2 linked regions of the Anolis sagrei genome follow. The protein of the gene in region 1 interacts with the protein of each later gene in a pairwise test. Links are inferred from orthologs where the notes say so. Each region holds a gene or a part of one and is shown in the gene's direction. Other genes may lie near its edges.

What was found. The genes of interacting proteins can lie anywhere in the genome.
Region 2: the proteins of DAPP1 (region 1) and FXN interact in binary tests that used the Homo sapiens proteins (3 or more experiments, as listed by UniProt). The link is inferred for Anolis sagrei from reciprocal best matches to the Homo sapiens genes DAPP1 and FXN.

Annotation. Positions count from the first base shown.
Region 1 is NC_090025.1:26,504,470-26,512,431, forward strand, and holds the start of DAPP1 (dual adapter for phosphotyrosine and 3-phosphotyrosine and 3-phosphoinositide), read left to right. Parts: upstream 1-4,957; 5' UTR 4,958-5,219; coding exon 5,220-5,323; intron 5,324-7,962. UniProt on the Homo sapiens protein: May act as a B-cell-associated adapter that regulates B-cell antigen receptor (BCR)-signaling downstream of PI3K.
Region 2 is NC_090022.1:221,737,620-221,744,762, forward strand, and holds the start of FXN (frataxin, mitochondrial), read left to right. Parts: upstream 1-4,137; 5' UTR 4,138-4,186; coding exon 4,187-4,327; intron 4,328-7,143.

The DNA of each region.
Region 1 (7,962 bases):
AGGTGCATTCAGTATTCCTGAGCTGATTCCATTTGAAGCAGATGATGAGGGCACGGTGCATTCAAATACAAAATGCCTTCTCTTTTCATCTATTTTGTTGTTGGCACAACAGAACACAAAACATGGCATGAGCCAGGCTTTGAATCGGGCCTCTGCCACCATTTAGTGACATCACTTTTGATGTCACTGTAAACTATAAAACTGATTTTGAAATCACAATTGCACTGAAAAAAGAATGAATTTATTTCTTGTAAATGTTAAACTTTTACAAACTACTTGCTTTCTAGTAACACGGTTGTTTTGATGGATGGAGTTGCTAGTCTCAGGATATTTTTTTCTATCCAAGATATAATCCCACAGATAACCTGTGGTTTTGGGATGGAGGCCAATAAATCTCCTGCTGCTAGAAAGCTTCATGTGTGTATTGAAGCTAGCATTTGAGGAATGAGCATCCGTAATGAATTGGACCCCAAGCTGAGCTGTTGAACCATTTATCTTTACTCAGTACTTACTCGATTGATATGTTCTTCAGGTTTTTGAGGTAAGCAACTTTAGCATCAAGAACGAAGAACCAAAAAGAATGTTAGAATTGATGTATTTGTTATTTGTCTGTGGCTTATAAGATTATCTGAGTCTCTGTCTGTATAAAAAAAAATTACCTCTATGCTATGTGTGTATGAGTATATATGTGTATGTATAAATTTCTTTGTGGCCACATAACACAACTATATATACAATTATATAACAATTGAAAGACACTGGGCTTTTTATAGGCAATCATAAAATACAAACCTCAATAAACATTGCACTTCTTTTGTCTGTGAATTCACATAAAAATGAGGACAAATCTTGTGTGCCTTTAATAGCTGTTTAGAAGAGGAAATGTTAGCAGTTCAAGTCTGCATGACAGGTTTCACCTATTGAAATTTCTACTTGCAGCTATTAAAGGGACAAAAGCTTCTTTCATACAGCCACTCATACTTTCCTCATACTATTTGTTTCCACTCTAATTAAAATTAATAATTAAAATCATACAAATTATTAAAAACTGGTGATACAGCTGTTGTTTTAATATGCTTTCCTGGAATCAGGAAACTTGTGCACCAGCTGTGACCATACCTCAAAAAGCCTGACTTGGCCACGGTGATCCATGCCTTAGGTACATCTGGATTGGACTACTGTAACACATTCTATGTGGGGCTGCCTTTAAAAACGATCAGGAAACTGCAATTAGTGCGAAGATCAGCTGCCAGATTATTAACTGGGGTCAATTATAGAGAGCATACGATGCTCCTATTAAAACAGCTCCACTGGCTGCTGATATGTTTCCAGACTCAATTCAAAGTGCAGGTCATTACCTATAAATCTCTAAACACTTCAAGTCCAGTCTATTTCCTTTGGGATCTGCTGGGGAGGCCCTTCTCTTGGTCCTGCTCAAGCGCGGTTGGTGGGGACAAGAGGGCTTTCTCGGTGGTGGCTCCCAGGCTTTGGAATGTCCTCCCCAGTGAGATTAGATTAGCCCCTACTCTCCAAGACTCTTGAACCAAAACATGGCTATTCAAACAGGCTTTTGACCTTATTTAGGAATCCTTACTGATTATATTTTAGGACTGGTGTTTATTTCACCTCACACTTTATGGACTGATACTGATTGCAATTTGTTTATATCTGCAGAAACTGTTGCATTTTATTGGTGTTTTAACCAGTGGGATTTTATAATTTTATGTGGATTGTTATTGTTATTGTGATATTGGTCAATACTTATTGTATATTTTATGTGTTTGCATTTTGAGTGCTTTTGTGAGCTGCCTAGAGCAGTGCTTCTCAACCTGGAGTACCCAGATGTTTTTGGCCTTCAACTCCCAGAAATCCTAACAGCTGGTAAACTGGCAGGGATTTCTGGAAGTTGTAGGCCAAAAACATCTGGGGACCCCAGGTTGAGAACCACTGGCTAGAGTCCCTCCAGGGAGATGGTGGCAGGGTAGAAATAAATTATTATTATTATTATTATTATTATTATTATTATTATTATTAAGTGAAGCTATCAAACCTGAGATGAACATGGTCTTTGACAAAGATTTTATTTTGTTTTGTTTTTTAAACTCCCCCTTCAAAAGCTTGTAGACGGGAAAGTATAATCAGAAACAGAACCACATGCTATTCAAAGTGGCCACACCTACCTCAAACAGACAAGAGTTCTTTCTCCCACCCTGGACATTCCACGGATATATAAACACCGTTTTCCTAGTTTCCAACAGACCTCACAACCTCTGAGGATGCTTTCCATAGATGCAGGTGAAAGGTCAGGAGGGAATGCTTCTGGAACATAGCCATACAGCCTGAAAAACTCACAACAACCCAGTGATTCTGGCCATGAAAACCTTCGACAGGCATGTAGCCGGGGGGGGGGGGGGGTTGAGGGACTTCAGCCCCCCCCCCCAAATTCTCATGATGCTTCGCGAAAAGGCCTTACTGGTGCATTATTTAAACTGTTATGTTTATTCATATCATGATCTGATCACCATGCTCAATATATCCCATATGCATGGGGTATTGGGGTAACGATACGAAAGGTTTGCTAGGGTAGACCCTCTTTCACTCAGACTCAGCCCCCCCCCCCCCGAATCGAAATCCTGGCTACGGGCCTGACCTTCAACAATACACAGAACCACATACAATTAGCAGAAATAGAAACTCGAAATATATCTGTTCCAAAGTCCAAGATGGAATTAGTGTGTCAAATTGTAAAACTTTTTTACGTGGAGAGGGAAGTCTTGTCCAGCCAGTGATTACTTGGGCAGATTTGGGGTTTTCTTGTGTCTGTTTTGTTCTTGTGTAAAACCTGAAAAGAAAGCTAAGGCAGAAGGTGAAGTGAAAGAGAAAAGCACCCAAATGCTTCTGCTTATGTAACACTAGTTGAAATAGTGACGGGAAAATCCAGGTCAACTTCTCTTAATAGGAAAGTATGTTAATGAGAACTGTATTCACCAAAGTGGTTTTATAAACTCTTCACCATACACTTTATGAAAATTCTAGGACTGAAATAGAAGTGAAGGTGGAAGCTACCTCAAGAGAGAATAATACCAAATAACTAAGGTGGAAAATTTGTGTCTCTTTCGATTCCTGGATTCTTTCTTTTCTAGTTCTCCTCTTTAGCTTTCTGTTTAATTTGACAAGCCTTAGTTCAGCATGGTCAAAGGACATTTAACCAACTACCAAGTTTGCAAAATCTGTGTTTTTTTTTTAATTTGTGTGTTCGTTTTGCTCTGTTAGAAATGTAATACAATGGTATGGTTGCTGATGACACGATAAATAAATAGCATGATACACATGTGGAGCCTCACAGTCTTGAAGAAACCTTTCATTTGGTGTTACACTACTCACAAAAATATACTTTTTGTTCAGTTGTACATGTTTTCATCGTATTGTTCTGTTTGTTCTTGCAAATTATTCGAGGTGACATACATGAGGGGTGGCTTTTTATCCTTACTGCAATCCTGCAATGAAGATTGTGCAGGAACACTGCAAGATGCCCAAAGCTGTCCAATAAAATTCATGCCAGCCTGGGGATTTGGGGGGCTGCAGTCTAAAGAAGTAACATTTCCAAACTCTGTTCATGGCTTTGTGGGAAGTTAAATTTAGGCAAGTTTGCATCCAAGCATGACATTTTAGTCACTTCCCCAAAGTAGCTGTAAAGCAGCCCAATTTTTAACATACTTTAATTCCATTGCTACTTAATAACTGTAATTTTGCTATTGTTATGAATCGTAATGTAAATATCTGATATGCAGGATGTATTTTCATTCAATGGACCAAATTTGGCACAAATACCCGATATGCCCAAATTTGAATACTGGTGGGATTGTGGGGGGAGATTGATTTTGTCATTTGGGAGTTGTAGTTGCTGGGATTTATAGTTCACTTACAACCAAAGAGCAATCTGAACTCCACCAATGATGGAATTGAACCACTCTTGGTACACAAAACTCCCTTAACAAACAGAAAATACTGGAAGGGTTTGGTGGGCACCGACCTTGAGTTTGGGAGTTGTTGTTCACCTACATCCAGAGAGCACTGTGGACTCAAACAATGATGGATCTGGACCAAACATGGCATAGATACTCAATATGCCCAAATGTGAACAGTGGTGGAGTTTAAGGGAAAACAGACCTTGACATTTGGGAGTTGTAGTCACTGGAATTTATAGTTCACCTACAATCAATAAGCATTCTGAACCACACCAACAACAGAATTGGGCCAAACTTCCCATGTAGAAACCCCATGACCAACAGAAAATACTATGTTTTCTTATGGTCTTTGGTGACCCCTCTCAAACCCCCTCTTGACCCTCCCAGGGGTTCCAGCCTCAAGGTTGAGAAATGCTGCCCTAGGCTGAGGTTTGAGCCACAACATGATGTACTGTAGCAGTTTGAGTCCTGGACAAGGACATAGGGGTACCAGGGTTCAAGTCCCGGCTTGGCTATGGAAGCTTACTGGGTGGCTTTGGACAATTCACACTCTCAGCCTCAGATGAAGGCAATGGCAACCCTCTTCTGAACAAATCATCCCAAGAAAACCCTATGATCAGGTCACCTTAGGGTAGCCATAGATCAGAAATGACTTGAAGGCACACAACAAAAAACTGACACTGTGATCTGATTCAAAACACACAAGAAACCCAGAACATGGAGCAACAAACTTCCTTCTTTCGGTGCCTAAAATCAAAACAAACATAGACTAGTATTTTTATCTTCTGTTGGCTTCTCTGCAGCAAAAGAATTACTGTAAAAAGAAAAGTGTGCAAAGGATTGGGTTGTTGGTGTTCTTTCTTACACACCTGTGTACACCTTTGGGCACACTGGCAAAAACTTATTCAGGCAACGCCCCTGGCTTACATACACACAACAGCAGAAGAGGCGTGGAACAGCCCCAACTGCATTCTCCTGACGTCCTCCCCTCTTCTGTCTGCCTGAACTGGAGAGGCAAGGGAAGGTCCTTTTGGTGCTGGCAGGGAGGGACTGTCATTTTCACTTCCTCATTCCCCTTGTGCAGCAGCAGAAACAACACCAACTTGCTGAGAAATGGATTGCTCTTCACAGAGAAGAGCCAGAATTTGAAGCAAAGGGATGCCAGCTGGCTTGCTTTTTCCTTGCTTGTTGTCTCTGCGGCCAGTGGTACCCTGAAAAGAAGCAGCAGCAGAAGGCTGGCAGGTGTTGCGAATGGGCAAAGCCAAGATGGAAGAGGAAAGGCGGATGACCATCCAGCAGGAGAATCAGGACCGTTTGAGGCATGGCAGTCCAGAAGAAGAGCTTCAGAGCCTGGCGTAAGCACAATTGCTACAATTACAGTAGACGAGGAGCCCTCTTTTCTCAGGAGAGCTTTCATTAATTTATGAACACCTGGTTGACTTTGGTCTCTTCTACACTGTCTTATATCCCAGGATCTCATCCCAGATTATCTGATTTAAACTGGATTATATGAGTCTCCACTGCCAGATAACCTGGAATAAACAGATAATCTGGATCAGTTCCTGGAATATAGGACAGCGTAAATCCAACCTTTATCCAGCTGAAGTATGCTTACCATCAGAAGGGCCTACCCTCATAGTTCTCCCTTCTTTTATTGCTTTTGCTTTAGCTGAGATCCAATAGCAGATAATAACTTGCTGTACACTTGTAAGAAGACTTGTACTGAAACTTAGCAGAGAGTTCGCTTGGTATTCTCTTTCTAATACACCCATTTATAAAGAAATAGGGAAAATTCATTTTTTTGTGTTAGATTGGTGCTAAACCTGTGGGTATCCTGATATTTTGGCCTCCAACTTCCAGAAATCCTAACGGCTGGTGAACTAGTTGGGATTTTTGGGAGTTGTAAGCCAAAACACCAGGGTACCAACAGGTTGAGAGATTAGGATCCGCATCATTACATTCAAGAAAGAAGAGGGAAATATTTCATTATGGCAAGAGATTACTACAATGGAGGGGACCAATTTCATATGCATTCAGCTATTCATCTTTATTAGTTTGTGAACCTTCACGAGTCTTGTTTTGCAAGCTACAGTTGTGTGGCTCAAAAGAAGTTCCTATGTAAAAGAGAGAGAAACAAAAACTATTTTTAAAAAGTGGTAGATCAGAGGTGATAGAGGGCAAAGACATGCATCACTTGCTATCTCCAGTGACGTCATAATATCTGGTATTGCGCATGCAGCTCAGACAGCCATAGAACTCAGTACCAACTCAAATTGCAAAGTTACATTTTAAAACAAGAAAGCCATATTGGTTCAGGGGAAAAAACTTAGGAAATTCAGATCGGAATTAATAATTTGATCCTTTGCCCTTGCCTATAACAAAAGTCCTTGTCAGTAAGGGACAGCCACATGATTAAAATAAGGACAAAACAAAGATGAAGCTATTAAAATTCTGCATTTATCACAGCATCCTTGGGCCAAGATCCTATTTGAATCAAACTACTTCTACAAAGGACCATAGCACAAAAAAGTGTCATTTTGCTCATCATGCAAAGAAGCATGTATCTTCTAGATCAGGCTAGCTGTGTTCACAATGAAAAGAAGTAATGATCAGAAGAGTTTTCCACATAATTGGTGCTAAATACAATTGGGTTTTTGTTGTTTGTTTTGTTGTTTGAGAAGATAATATTTTGAGGTTGAGATACTGGATCTCCATATAGTAACAATGTATAGATATGAGAAAAATAGTATTTTGGGTTGTTGTAGGTTTTTTCGGGCTATATGGCCATGGTCTAGAGGCATTCTCTCCTGACGTTTCGCCTGCATCTATGGCAAGCATCCTCAGAGGTAGTGAGGTCACCTCTGAGACCTCACTACCTCTGAGGATGCTTGCCATAGATGCAGGCGAAACGTCAGGAGAGAATGCCTCTAGACCATGGCCATATAGCCCGAAAAAACCTACAACAACCCAGTGATTCTGGCCAGAAAGCCTTTGACAATAAATAGTATTTTGTTGTTTAAACAGTTTTGAAAGGCTTTCATATCTATTACAACCTGATATCATAAAATTACCAATTCCTGTTTTTATACTCCCTGTGTATGTTGGCCACCGGTGGTGCAGTGGGTTAAACTACTGAGCTGCTGAACTTGCTGACTGAAAGGTCAGTGGTTTGAATCTGGGGAGCAGGGTGAGCTCCCACTGTTAGGCCCAGCTCCTGCCAACGTAGTAGTTCGAAAACATACAAATGTGAGTAGATCAATAGGTACCACTCCGGCGGGAAGGTAACGGCGCTCCATGCAGTCATGCCGGCCACATGACCTTGGAGGCGCCTATGGATAACGCCTGCTCTTCGGCTTAGAAATGGAGATGAGCACCAACCTGCAAAGTCGGATATGAATAGACTTAATGTCAAGGGGAAACATTTACCTTTACTTATGTTTGTAATTCAATTAAATTAGATGACATAAATATAGTACTTTTTAGTGGTTCTCTTTCTCATCAATACATGATGAATATGATGGACTACTAAGGATATTTTTACCCAGGACTGGGGTGATTTAGAAATGAATTTCCAATCTGTTGTGGTTTGAGGGACTCAGCTAAATTGAAAGTAATGATTTTGTTGCTTAAATGACTAAACCCTTTAGTGACATCATGTTCTTGACACCACTGACTTTTCTACAGAACAGTAAAAATGTCCCATCAATAGTATGGCTGAGAGTGTGCGTCTCTGGTTTTCAAATGAAACATAAAGAGCCTTTTCACACTGCACAATTATAGCATTTTAATTCCACTTTGCCTGCCATGATTGCATCCTGTGGAATATTGGACTTTGAAGTCCAATATGACTATCTAGCTGAGAATTTGGACTGCTGCAGAATCATAGAGTTAGAAGAGATCTCATGGGCCATCCAGTCCAACCCCCTGCCAAGAAGCAGGAAAATCACATTCAAAGCACCCCCAACAGATGGCCATCCAACCTCTGTTTAAAAGC
Region 2 (7,143 bases), on another chromosome or scaffold:
AAGGGGAAAGGCGACTCAAAAGTGTGCAGCGCGTCTCCCCAGAAATGCCCCAGTTTATATAATGGCAAATGGAGTTGGAAAGAGTTTAGCACAGACCTTAGAGAACCTGACCCGGTGTAAGGCCACTTCCTGTGTTCCTTTTTGTTTGGTGTCTTCAGTGAGCAAATAGAAATTTTGACATTTCCAGGTGATCTGGATTCTGTGGCATTTAGTGTTTTGTCATATATTGTTCTTGTATACTTTCAAGTTGAAGGTTTTTCTTGGCCATGTTTGTTTAGAGGAGGTTTGCCATTGCCTTCCTCTGAGGTTGAGAGAGTGCTCTCTTCAATTACAATGAGAATATTGGGTTGTTGTAGGTTTTCTCAGGCTGTATGGCCATGTTCTAGAGGCATTCTCTCCTGACATTTCGCCTGCATCTATGGCAAGCATCCTCAGAGGTAGTGAGGTGAGAATATTGTTGAGCAGGTGAAAATCATGATTTGTTTCCAAAGAGATATTTAAATTATTACATTATGTAATACGATTGTGTGCCTGGATTATAAACATCATTTTCTAATTGCTTGTATCATAAAAGCATTAAAAAAGTTTATCAAACTACAAAAACTTTGTTTTTGCAAGACATAAGGCAGAACATTTTGCTATAGTTTTTCAATAACTGTCTCATAGAGTCTTAACCAATTCAACATAGTTTGTGGCAGCCACAAAAACAACGTTTTTGGAGTATAGCAACTAGTTTCAAGGTAAGTTCTGTTGTTGTTGTCATTCATAGCTCTTCTGTACCACAAATGGTGCATCTACACTGTAGAATTGATACTTTTGACACCCCTCTGAACTGCCACAGTTCAATGCTATTAAATACTGGGAGTTGTAGTTTGGTGAGGCACCAGCTCTCTTTGGCAGAGAAGGCTAAAGACCTTGTGAAACTACTACTACTGTGATTCCATTTTGAGTGGTGCCAAACTGCATTCATTCTGCAGTGTAGATGCACCCGCAATTAATAGCACCATGAGTCCCCTTTAACTGCCAGGGCTGGATCCCATGAAATACTGGGATAGATACTTCTCTTGTGGAGAACGTTATGTACTGTGTAGAACGGGTCTTTAGGATGAAACCATAGCAGTTTAAGTGGGATCATAGTGCTATAATGATGAACTCTGAACTGTTCCCTGTATTTGGATGTTTGGAATCTACAACAAATGCACTGGAAAGTGTTAACAATTGAAGAGCCAACCAAAACATTATTGGCATCTTAGTTTTAGGCCTGTTTCTGGAGTTATTTGGGGTGCTGATTCAGGAACATTGCATTAGACTGACCACATCAGTCCTAGTTTCTTACAAAAAAAGATACAGTTATCTTTTTTATGGGAAGTTTTAAATAATTAAAAATAACAAAAAATAATGTTATTTTTATAGCATTCCTAATTGGTTCTATCGTAAAAACATGGAAAAGGATTACTAAACTTGTTCTATGTTTGTATAGAAGGTTACAGATAGCATATGAAAAGTTAAAAGTGGCAGCCACAAAAACAGAAGTTTCTGGAGTATAACAACTTCTTTCAAAGTACCGGTAAGTACTGCACAATTAAAGAGGAAGTAACACTTTCAAACTAGGAACCACTGGCCACATAGGGAAGCTGATGAAGAAACACAACCTACAAACTATCTATAGACCCACCAAGAAAATCCAACAAATGCTACGTTCAGCAATGGACAAGAGGGATCCTCTCTCCTCTGCTGAAGTCCATGTATACCATGTATACCATGCAGCTGTGGACAAGTCTCCATAGGGACCACCAAATGCAGCATTGCCCAATCACGAGTCAAGGAACAAGAAAGATACTGCAGACTAACTCAACCTGAGAAGTCAGCCATAGCAGAGCACTTGATGAACCAACCTGGACATAGCATATTATTTGAGAACACAGAAATGCTGGACCACTCTAACAACCACGAGGAAACCATGAAAATGAACAATATTTGGCTACCATTATTTAAAAACTCTAAAATCAGGATAATAAATAAAAAACAACACTCACAAAACAGGGGAATTCTAGACAGGAAACAATCAGGGCCAGCTAACACCTCCCAACAAAGAATTCCCCCAGGCAGGAAGCAGCCAGGCTTTGAAGCTGCAAGGCCATTCAATGCTAATCAAGGTGGCCAATTGCAACATTCACACTTGCCTCAAGCAGACAAGAGTTCTTTCTCCCACCCTAAACATTATTCCACAGATATATAAACTTCACTTGCCTAGTTTCCAACAGACCTCACAACCTCTGAGGATGCCTGCCATAGATGTGGGTGAAATATCAGGAGAGAATGCCTCTGGAACATGGCCATACAGGCTAGAAAACTCACAACAACCTAGGAACAGAAAGTTTTTCAAATTTGTTACATAGTGTTATTGCATTGTCATTTTATTTCCTCCATATACTGTATCTGATGCCGTGGTACTGCAATTTAAAAACAAGGTAGGTATTAAATACTGAAAGACCTTGGTGGCTTTTAGCCCATCCTGTAAAACAGCGTTTCTCAACCTGGGGATCGGGGCCCCTGGGAGGGCCCCGAGGGGGTGTCAGAGGGGTCGTCAAAGACCACCAGAAAGTTGGTCATGGGGTTCCTGTGTGGGAAGTTTGGCCCAGTTCTATTATTGGTGAGGTTCAGAATGCTCTTTGATTGTAGGAGAACTATAAATCCCAGCAACTACAACTCCCAAATGTTAAGGTCTATTTTCCCCAAACTCCACCAGTGTTCATATTTGGGCATATTGAGTATCCGTGCCAAGTTTGGTCCAGATCTACCATTGCTTGATTCCACAGTGCCCTCTGGATGTAGGTGAACTGCAACTCCAAAAATCAAGGTCAATGCCCACCAAACCCTTACACTGTTTTCTCTCAGTCATGGGAGTTCAGTGTGCCAAGTTTGGTTCGATTCCATTGTTGGTGGAGTTCAGAATGCTCTTTGATTGTAGGAGAACTATAAATTCCAAGAACTACATCTCCCATATGTCAAGGTCTATTTCCTCTAAACTCCACCAGTGTTCACATTTGGGCATATCGAGTATCCGTGCCAAGTTTGGTCCAGATCTATCAGGCCCGTAGCCAGGATTTCGTTTCGGGGGGGGGGGGGGGGGCTGAATTTTTTCAGGGGGGGTTTGGGGGGCTGAGTTTCGGGGGGGGCTGAGTCTGAGTGAAAGAGGGTCTAACCTAGCAAACCTTTTGTATCATTACCCCAATATCCTCATGCATATGGGATATATTGAGTATGGTTATCAGATCATAATATGAATAAACATAACAGTTTAAATAATGCACCAGTAAGGCCTTTTCGCGAACCACCATGAGAATTGGGGGGGGGGGGGCTGAGGCCCCCCGAGGCCCCCCCCCCCGGCTACATGCCTGAGATCTACCATTGCTTGAGTCCACGGATATAAGTGAACTACATCTCCCATATGTCAAGGTCTATTTTCCCTAAACTCCACCAGTGTTCACATTTGGGCATATAGAGTATCCGTGCCAAGTTTGGTTCAGATCTACCATAGCTTGAGTCCACGGTGCTCTCTGGATATAGGTGAACTACAACTCCAAAACTCAATGCCCACCAAACCCTTACATTGTTTTCTCTTGGTGATGGGAGTTCTGTGTGCCAAGTTTGGTTCGATTCCATTGTTGATGGAGTTCAGAATGCTCTTTTATTGTAGGTGAACTACAACTCCCAAATGACAAAATCAACCCCTCCCCAACAAAACCCCCACCAGTATTCAAATTTGGGCGTATTGGGTATTTGTGCCAAATTTGGTCCAGTGAATGAAAATACATCCTGCATAACAGATATTGACATTCAAATTCATAACAGTAGCAAAATTACAGTTATGAAGTAGCAACAGAAATAATTTTATGGTTGGGGATCCCCACAACATGAGGAACTGTATTAAGTGGTTGTGGCATTAGGAAGGTTGAGAACCACTGCTGTAAAAGCACTGTAAAAGACCAAGGCAAAAAAAAACCCCCTCTGAGCAACATTTTGCCGAGGAAACACCAACCAGGCCCTGCAGTGTTTCGCGTGGCCACTTGGGGGCAGCAGCGCACCTGGCGATGTTTACTTTTTTTTTCTCCTCCTCTTCTGTCGCTTGCCTGGCGTCACTGTGGGAGGAGGCAGGGCTTTTTCCCTGGCGCCTGGTTCCAGCATGTGGAGGCCCCGAGCAGCTGGGGTCCCTTTGGCTGCATGGAGGAGGGTCGCAGGCTGCAGAGCCATTGGGGGCCCCGGGAGAAGGACCCCCGCCGCCTCCTCCTCCTCCTCCTTACCTTTCCAAGCCAAGCAGCCAAAGGTGAGCAAGCAAAGGGGCAGAGGCTCCCAATAAGCGCCTCTTTGGGGAGGGAAGGAGGGAGGAAAGGAGCTTGCAGGCGGACTCAAGGCTATGGAATCCTGGGAGCTGTAGTTTTGCAAGATCTTCAGCCTTCTCTGCCAAAAGAGTGCTGGTGCCTCACCAAACGACAACTCCCATGATCCCATGCTGTGTCTACATTGTAGTATTGATGCACTTGAGCTACATGTCTCAAGGCTATGGAATCCTGGGAGCTGTAGTTTTGCAAGGTCTGCAGCCTTCTCTGCCAAAAGAGTGCTGATGCCTCACCAGACTACAACTCCCATGATCCCATGCTGTGTCTACATTGTAGTATTGATGCACTTGAGCTACATGTCTCAAGGCTATGGAATCCTGGGAGCTGTAGTTTTGCAAGATCTTCAGCCTTCTCTGCCAAAAGAGTGCTGGTGCCTCACCAAACTACAACTCCCATTATCCCATGGTGTGTCTACATTGTATTATTGATGCACTTGAGCTACATGGCTCAAAGCTATGGAGCCCTGGGAGTTGTAGTTTTGCAAGGTCTTAAGCTTCTCTGCCAAAAGAGGGCTGATGCCTCACCAAACTACACCTCCCATGATCCCATGGTGTGTCTACATTGTAGTATTGATGCACTTGAGCTACGTGACTCAAGGTTATGGAATCCTGGGAGTTGTAGTTTGGCAAGGTCTTCACTCTTCTCCGCCAAAAGAGTGCTGGTGCCTCACCAGACTACAACTCGCATAATCCCATGGTGTGTCTACATTGTAGTATTGATGCACTTGAGCTACGTGACTTAAGGCAATGGAATCCCGGGAGCTGTAGTTTTGCAAGATCTTCAGCCTTCTCTGCCAAAAGAGTGCTGTTGCCTCACCAAACGACAACTCCCATGATCTCATGGTGTGTCTACATTGTAGTATTGATGCACTTGAGCTACGTGGCTCAAAATGACAATGTTGACATTTTGATTGGCAGAAGTCCAACTTTTGCATAAGTCTTTTGTTGTTGTTGTTGCTGATGCCAGAATTCCCGGCCAGTCACATACAATTATGACACTGTCCCAAACCCCCCCCCCCTTTTTTTAAGGTTGCAATCTCTTTTTCACATACATAGCCACTTACATTCTATTCATATTGTATTTTAACTTTTGTATTATGTATTATAGTATTGAATTTTATCTGGAACTGTATTGTACTCCAGAGGGCTGGCTTTAGAACAGCAGGTTAACCACCGGCTACAGCCGCAGTAAATCTTGTCAACTGAAAGGTTGACAATTTGAAGACGGGTCAAGGTGAGCTCCTGACCTTCATCCCAGTTCCCCGCCCACCTAGCAGATAGAAAACAGTAATGTGAATAGTTGAATAGGAGAGGAGAGGCATTTTGAATAGGAACTGCATTGAGCTGAGAGGTATTTTAGGCAGGCTTTCAGAGGAAAGTTTACCAACAAAGAAAGCTCTTTGGCAAGGAGATGGAGCAACAGCACCCCCCTGTGTCCGGGGCCAAGCACAGCCTCAAAAAGATCCTGAATGATGAGAAAAAGCCTATATTTACCTCTCTCTGTTGTCTGTCTTGTCATTGTATAATCAGCATTGAATGTTTTCTGTATATGTGTTCTGTGATCCGCCCTGAGTCCCCTTCGGGGTGAGAAGGGCAGAATATAAATACTATAAATAATAATTATAAATACAGTAATAATACTTTGAGCTATGAGGAGAAGTGGGTAACAAATGAAATTATATATATTTGTGTGTGTGTGTATGTGTGTGTATAGCCTGTGTTGAATGGTGGTAGCAGAGAAATGTTAGGCATTTTAATGCCACCTTTCCTTTCCTGATCTACACTCTCTTTTCTAAGAGAGTGTAGATCAGAGGTCCTCAAACGTTTTAAACAGAGGGCCAGGCCACAGTCCCTCAAACTGTTGGAGGGCTAGATTATAATTTGAAGAAAGCATGAATGAATTCCTACGCACACTGCACATACCTTATTTGTAGTGCAAACACAATACAATAATTAAAATAAGAACAATTTAAACAAATATAAACATTAATATTTCAATGGGAAGTGTGGGCCTGCTTTTGACTGATGAGACAGGATTGTTGTTGTTGTGTGCTTTCAAGTCATTTCAGACTTACGTTTACCTTGAGTGAGGGCTGGTTAAATGACCTTGGAGAGCCGTATTCAGCCCCTGGGACTTAGTTTGAGGACCCCTGGTGTAGATTGTCCCATAACTCTCTCACAATGGCCCTTTTGGGGAGAAGCACAAGTAAACGTGGGTTTTGGGGGAATGATGGAAGAAATAAGAAATATTTCTAATTTAAATTACAACCTAGAATTTTATCCCTGATTTATTAGTGTGAATATTTTCTTTGGTGTTCTTAAGGAAAGAGAGTTTTTTTCATCTTGCTGAGATACTGTGCTACATAGCACCCCCTCCCCCAAAAAATAATTACAAAAGGAAAAATTAATAAGATGTAGGCACAAATTTCAACTGTGAAATATCAAGAATGTGATGTTTCCATCTCTCTTATCATGGCGGTCACTCATCTTTCTAAGACAGATCACTTTGAGCAAGCAAGTTAATATATTATCAGAGCTTTTGACAAAAAGCCAATTCAAGTGGTATTGGGTTCAGTTAGGATACGAAGGGAGTTTGCAAACAGGGATTTTGTTTGTCTGATAGGAGTGGAATAGTGCATGCCTTTCTAGAAAAACCATAACTATTATTGTTATTCAATAGCATTATTTATCACAATGATTTATCCATCATAATACTTGGCGGGACCCTTTTAAACAAGACTGCA